2 linked regions of the Canis lupus familiaris genome follow. The protein of the gene in region 2 interacts with the protein of the main gene of each other region in a biochemical or structural test. Links are inferred from orthologs where the notes say so. Each region holds a gene or a part of one and is shown on either strand. Other genes may lie near its edges.

Evidence for each region.
Region 1: the proteins of UBC (region 2) and MYO6 form a complex in vitro, tested with the Homo sapiens proteins (6 studies listed by BioGRID, with this or other methods). The link is inferred for Canis lupus familiaris from reciprocal best matches to the Homo sapiens genes UBC and MYO6.

What each region holds. Positions count from the first base shown.
Region 1 is NC_049233.1:37,585,067-37,588,879, reverse strand, and holds the start of MYO6 (unconventional myosin-VI), read right to left. Parts: upstream 2,874-3,813; 5' UTR 2,696-2,873; exon of another isoform or gene 2,656-2,695; intron 1-2,655. UniProt on the Homo sapiens protein: Myosins are actin-based motor molecules with ATPase activity. Unconventional myosins serve in intracellular movements. Myosin 6 is a reverse-direction motor protein that moves towards the minus-end of actin filaments.
Region 2 is NC_049247.1:5,228,627-5,232,226, forward strand, and holds the start of UBC (polyubiquitin-C), read left to right. Parts: upstream 1-1,419; 5' UTR 1,420-1,578; intron 1,579-2,400; 5' UTR 2,401-2,403; coding exon 2,404-3,600.

The DNA.
Region 1 (3,813 bases), on a different chromosome or scaffold from region 2:
GTTTATTTAAACAGTCTACCAAATGAACTAAGATCAAGGCAACCTGGTCTGGTGGAAAAGACAAGGGTTTCGTGGTCAGAAGACTTAGGTGTGAATCCAGACTTTGTTCCTCTGGAGCTGTAAGACCTTGAGCAAATATTTAATTCTCTAAGCTTAAATTTCCTCATGTGTAAAAGGACAAGACCACCAACCTTGAAAATTATTTTGTAGATTAAATCTCTCAGTGTTCTGATTATACCAGATTCCTATATGGTATAGGAATTATACCAATTCCATCCAGTGGGTGGGTGATGATCTTATACTACCAAAGGGCCAGTTCAGGGGCACCCGGATGGCTCAGTTGGGTAAGTGTCTGCCTTTGGCTCAGGTCATGATCCCAAGTTTCTGGGATAGAGCCCCCGCATCTGGGAATCTGCTTCTCCGTCTCTCTCTGCCCCTTGTGTGCTTGCTCTCTCATTTTCTCTCAAATAAATAAATAAAAATCTTTTTTTAATTAATTCATTAATTTTAAAAAATGAGGGCCAGTTCAGAATTATTATGAAGTACATCATTAAAGGGATCACAAACTGTATGAGAGTTAGCAAAGCAGTAATACCATTTTTAGTCTTTTACTGAAAATGTTTTCATATACAAACATGAAAATTTCACAGAGGTCAGAAATCTTTTTAAAACTGACATTTTTAAATATCAAAATGAAGCTTCAATTATCAACAGTGAAAACTGGTTAATTTTCTAAAAAATGTTTTGGGTGCTTAGATTTATCCAAACCTCACAAAGCAAAAAAATTTAAAACTTTCTTAAAAGAGCTGTACTTTAGAACCCAGAGACAGCCCAGTTATCTAAACAATGGGCTACATGATACACCACAGTCTCCAGGCAAAGTCACAACAGGATGAGAAAAGAGCCTTCAGCCTCTCTCAGATTTCCTGGCCACTGTTATTTTAAAACTTGATCACATAAACATAAACAGAGGGAAAAAATCCACTTCAGATAAGCGCCATGGGTTATGACTTATGATCTGTTCTTAATACATCATATTAATTTACATTAAATATTACAATAATGCATTACACTTTTCTTGTTCATGCTTCTGGACTAATGAAGAATACGTGTATTACAGTTTTACATAATATGTATTTAGAGTTTTTAATCCTGTAATCTCTTTCTAAAGTTCTTTTACTTCTTTTTAAAATTACCTTTTGAAAACGAAAAGGTAACTCAAACTGGGAGAACAATGTCACATAGAACACACAAACGCAATAGGCAAATCTGCCTAAGACTAAAATGACTTGTTTACCACTGTGTGTATAATTCCTGCGCAATTTAAAATACTCAACATGAGCTGTATATTTAAAAGTCAATGAGTTACTTTGAATGGCTGCATTGTTTCAAGCTCTGGCTATAGCCCAATGTGTAATGTTTCTAAAATTAATGATAAAAAATACCAAGGTAATTTTTTCACGAAGCAATTTCCAAATATAAAACCACAACCCAAGGTATCTATGAAGTTTAGTTAATTTGTACAGATATGCTGTTTTCCTGCCAACCTTTGCACCATGACCATTCCAGCCCAAGTTCAAGATTCACATTTCATGGTGTGAAGAGTTTCAACTAAACCTTAAGAATTTTTAAAACTTTCACACCCTGACGATACTCAGATACTTTGCATCTACACCACCAGAGCATAACAGCAAATGAAACTTTTATTTAGCACGTACAGCAATCTGTGAAGTTGCGGCAGTGCTCCTAGCTGCTCACTAGTATCTGTAGATTAGGATGCATACATTCCTCCACTACAACTTTATGCCCCATAAAACGTAACCTGTCTCCTTAAACACTACAGAAATAGTATTTCCGACACGGATGTGCCAGTAATAACCCTACCAAATTACTTCCTACTTAAAATCCCGGGGTTGGGGATCCCTGGGTGGCTCAGCGGTTTAGCGCCTGCCTTCGGCCCGGATCGAGTCCCGGGATCGAGTCCCGCATCGGGCTCCCGGCGTGGAGCCTGCTTCTCCCTCTGCCTCTCTCTCTCTCTCTCTGTCTCTCTCTCTCATGAATAAATAAGTAAAATCTTAAAAAAAAACATCCCGGGGTTGGAGCATCTGAATGGTTTTAAGGAGTTTTTGGAAATTAACAAATATAAAAAGCTCTTGTTCGGTAGCACAAATGTCCATTAACATACTCAAAGTACTGGACCACCTAAGGACTAAAATTATCCCGTTCAGACGGTCCCACCCGGTCTTCTACATGACTAGACTATCAATTCGACAGTGGCCGGCACCTGATACGAAGGTATCTCCGAGCAGGCGGCACTGTTCCTGCGCTGGATTTCAAGCTTGTTTACTCAAGAGAAAGAACTACCACGGGGCGTCCACGTCCGGGTGGGGCACCGGAGTGCTCTGCTACCCGGGGGCAGGGAAGGGACCCACAGGTAGCCTGCTGACGACAGACCCGTGAAAACCAGAACCAGCCCCGCACCGCCGTGAGCCGCCGGCCGGGCCCAGCCGGCACCTGCCTCACCGCGCGCATCCCGGGCGGAGACCCGGCCGTCAGCCCCGGCGGCGGAGGCCCGAAGCAGCGCGGCCCGGGGACGCGAGGCCCGGACGCCGACGCCGACGCCGACGCCCCGAGGAGCGGCCCCGCGCCACTCACCGGGGTGGCCGCGAGCGCAGGTGCGCGGAGGCGAGGCTACCTGTGGCCGGCGAGGTGGAGGGCGGGGTGAAAGGTAACCAAGTCGAGCGCGAAGGGCGACTGCGTGGACAGGCTCGGAGACGCGGCGGCGGCGGCGGCGGCGACCGCGGTCCTGCGAGCTTCCTGCTCGGACAGATCCCGGGGCCGTCTCCGCCCGCCGGCCGGCGCCCCGCCGAGTCCCCGGCCCCGGCGCGCGCACGTCACGGCTACGGAGCGCCCAAGGGGGCGGGGGCGCCGCGGGCCGGGGCGGGGCGGGCCGGGGCGGGGCGGGCCGGGGCGGCCGGGCACGGGGGGCGCAGGCGCGCGCTCCCCGAGGGGGCGCTGGGCGCCCGCAGCCCCCCGCCCCGCCCCGCCCCGCCCCGCCCCGCCGCGCCGCTCGCCCCCGCCCCCGCCCCCGCCCCGCGGCGCGCAGCCTCCCGGGCGGAGGTGGGCGCGCTGGAGCGCGGGAAGGGGCCGCGGCGGGCCCGGCCGGCAGCCTCGTTCCTCCCCCTGCGGCACGGCCTTCCTCGCCGCGGTTGTCTCCAGCCCGGGTGCGGAGACCGTGGAGTCCGGCAACAGCAAGAACCAGTTCACGGAGGGAGAAAGGTGTTCAGACGCGGCCAGGACCACGCGCTTTACTCGAGGGCGTTGTTGCGGAGGGAAGAACCGCTGCTAACTAGGCTCCGGTCCGGGTCGGCTTGGGCTGCGCTGGGCTGGGCTGGGCTGAGCTACGCTGGGCTGAGCTACGCTGGGCTGGGGTGGGCTGCACTGGGATGCGCTGGGGTGTGCTGGGCGCTGGGCTGCGCTGGGCTGTGCTGGGCTGAGCTGGGCTGCGAGGCGCTGGGCTGTACTGGGATGCGCTGGTGTGTGCTGGGCGCTGGGCTGTGCTGGGCTGTGCTGGGCACTGAGCTGCGCTGGGCTGCGCTGGGCTGGGCTACGCTGGGCTGGGGTGGGCTGAGCTGGGCTGCGCTGGTGTGGGCTGAGCTGGGCTGCGCTGAGCTGGGAGGCGCTGGGCTGGGCTATGCTGGGCTGCGCTCCGCTGAGCTGGGCTGCTCTGGGCTGCGCTGGGCTGGGCTACGCTGGGCTGCGCTGGTGTGGGCTGAGCTGGGCTGCGCTGAGCTGGGAGGCGCTGGGCTGGGC
Region 2 (3,600 bases):
AAACCTTCCTCAGACCTTTCTCATAAATACGTACCTACATGGGTTACCAAAGAAAACACATAGCAGTTTTGATTCACATTTTGAGAATTTAAATAATACAATATTCATAATTTAAAACAGGAATGAGTCTTTTTTTAACCGCAGAACATTGTTTAGGCAACTTTTCCTATTTGTTTTTTTCTTGAAAGCTTTGAGGGTGAAATGAAAAGATCTTTCCCCCCTCCACACTGAAACAGAGAATAGCTCCAGAAGAGACAGTGGCTGGGGGATTGAGCATGTGAAGGACTTTTCTCTGTAAACTTCCAGAAACTTTTTAAGTTTTCACCATATTCAGGTATTTTATTTTTCAGTCTTTCTCCTTTTATTCAAATGGAATTTTGCCATAGAATTCAATGTAATTAAATTATTTATTAAAGATCTTTATTAAAAAAAAAAAAAGATCTTTATTCATGAGACATCAGAAACAGAGACACAGGCAGAGGGAGAAGCAGGCTCCCTGCGGGGACCTCAACACAGGACTGGATCCCAGGACCCCGGGGTCACGCCCCGAGCCAAAGGCACTCAACCACTGAGTCACCCAGGTGCCCCAAATTTTGTATTTGGGATATTAAATTGTGTCCCCCCCCCCCCCGCCCACGAATGTACAGGCCTGGGATTGGACTTGTGTTTCTGAGACCCCAGGCCTAAGGAAGTTGTACGTCTGAGCTCCACTGAGTGTCCACCAGATGCCTCCGTGTGTGTATCTAGTACAAGGCGGCGTAGGTGGTACAGGAAGGCCAAAGGACATTCTAGAAAGTTCGGTGGACTTCCAGACGCCTCTCGAATAGGTGCGGGCAAAGCGTGCGGGGTTTCTGCGCCCCCTTCTAGCCTTCGGCCGTCCCGCACCCCCTGCTCCCCCGCTGCCCCAGCCCAGCCCGGGCCCACCTCCCGCCCCGCGCCGCGATCTGTCGAGTCATCCGTCCTGTCCGCGCCCGCGCGGGGGGATGGGCGGGCCGCAGGCCCCGGCGCGAGGACCCCTGCGGTCGCGGAGGGGCGAGGGACCACGACGCCCAACCCCTCTCCGCCCAGGGCGGGTCTCGAGAGCCGCGGGGACCGCTGCGGCCGAGGGGAAGGGGTGTCTGGGTCCCGCGGCAGGGGCAGCTCGCCCCGGACGCCCGGCGATTCCGCGCCGGGTTTTCCCGTCTCCCGCGGGCCCTGTTCTCCGCGCTCGCCCCCTCCCCCCTCCCCCCTCGCATCCGGCGCCGGCCACGTCCGCGGACGCAGCACTCAACGGGCGCGCTGATCCCTCCGCGCGGGCGCTCGGGACCGCGGCCCTCTCCTCGCCAGATTCAGCCCTACAGCCCAGCCTTGACAGGTCGACGTTTCCGGGGGCTCCTAGAAGATTCTGGGGCAGTGGTTTTCTCCCTGGAGGCCAGGAAGACGGTGAAAAGTAGTCCCTTCTCGGCGTTTCTGCGCAGGGATCCGCCGGAGCGGCGCGGCCGATTGTTATATAAGGAGGCGCCGGGCGTGGCGCAGGCAGTTCCGTGGAGGCCGGGAGGTCGGTTGTTCGTCTCCGTGCGCTTCTGTCACAGCCGCTTGGTGAGGAGCGGGCCGCTGCGCGGGCCTGGGGGTCTTGGGGCCCTGCAGGGGCGGGGGGCCGGGCAGCCGGCTGCCCGGGGAGTTGCCCGCGGCGCCGGAGCGCGGTTACTCTTGGGGGGGGGGGCGCAGCAAAATGGCGTCCGCTACGGCTCCTGTGCGGGGAGAAGCCGAGGTGCGAGGGGCCGTGAGGAGCCCGGGAGACGGGATGGCTGTGAGCGGGCGAGACGCGCCGAGCCAGTGGGGCCCTGACGGGGCCCTCTGCGCAGTGAGTGGGGGCGGGAAGCCCCTGTGTGCTCCGCGGCCCCGCTGGCGCCACGCTCCGTGTCCGGTCGCGGCGAGTGGGCCCGAAGTGCCGGAGCAGTCCTGCGCCCGTTTGGGGGGAGGGGGCCCGCTCGTCGCGTCGGTCATGTGATGTCATCGCTTTGTCAGCTAACAATCCGGGGTGGGGCCGCGTGTTCCTGTGTGTGGAGCCGGCTTGGGTCAGTCGCGGGGCACAAGGGTTAGGCGGGGCGGGGGAGGGGAGATCCTGCGGATTGTCCGGTCCAGACATCACTGAGGGGGGAGGGGAAGATACGGAAGCCGGCGCCTTCACTTGACCGGTATCCATGCTTTCTCTCCTCCTGGGGCCTGGAACTTGGTTTTGGAGCTTATTTGAGTTTCCAAAACCTGTCCTGTTTCTTCGCCTTAGGTTTTTTGGCGAGGTTTATTTTAGTTCTTGGGTTAGTGTAAAATGACCAGTAACTGTTAGCGTTCTATTCACATGTGAGTGGTCTGTTACACTCCGGATTGTTTTTTTTGTTTTTTTGGGTTTTTTTGTGACAGACAATGCAGATCTTCGTGAAGACTTTGACGGGTAAGACCATCACCCTGGAGGTGGAGCCCAGTGACACCATCGAGAACGTCAAGGCGAAGATCCAGGACAAGGAGGGCATCCCCCCTGACCAGCAGAGGTTGATCTTTGCTGGCAAACAGCTGGAAGATGGGCGCACCCTGTCCGACTACAACATCCAGAAGGAGTCCACTCTGCACCTGGTCCTTCGCCTCAGGGGGGGCATGCAGATCTTCGTGAAGACCTTGACGGGTAAGACCATCACCCTGGAGGTGGAGCCCAGTGACACCATCGAGAACGTCAAGGCGAAGATCCAGGACAAGGAGGGCATCCCCCCTGACCAGCAGAGGTTGATCTTTGCCGGCAAACAGCTGGAAGATGGGCGCACCCTGTCCGACTACAACATCCAGAAGGAGTCCACTCTGCACCTGGTCCTTCGCCTCAGGGGGGGCATGCAGATCTTCGTGAAGACCTTGACGGGTAAGACCATCACCCTGGAGGTGGAGCCCAGTGACACCATCGAGAACGTCAAGGCGAAGATCCAGGACAAGGAGGGCATCCCCCCTGACCAGCAGAGGTTGATCTTTGCCGGCAAACAGCTGGAAGATGGGCGCACCCTGTCCGACTACAACATCCAGAAGGAGTCCACTCTGCACCTGGTCCTTCGCCTCAGGGGGGGCATGCAGATCTTCGTGAAGACTTTGACGGGTAAGACCATCACCCTGGAGGTGGAGCCCAGTGACACCATCGAGAACGTCAAGGCGAAGATCCAGGACAAGGAGGGCATCCCCCCTGACCAGCAGAGGTTGATCTTTGCCGGCAAACAGCTGGAAGATGGGCGCACCCTGTCCGACTACAACATCCAGAAGGAGTCCACTCTGCACCTGGTCCTTCGCCTCAGGGGGGGCATGCAGATCTTCGTGAAGACCTTGACGGGTAAGACCATCACCCTGGAGGTGGAGCCCAGTGACACCATCGAGAACGTCAAGGCGAAGATCCAGGACAAGGAGGGCATCCCCCCTGACCAGCAGAGGTTGATCTTTGCTGGCAAACAGCTGGAAGATGGGCGCACCCTGTCCGACTACAACATCCAGAAGGAGTCCACTCTGCACCTGGTCCTTCGCCTCAGGGGGGGCATGCAGATCTTCGTGAAGACCTTGACGGGTAAGACCATCACCCTGGAGGTGGAGCCC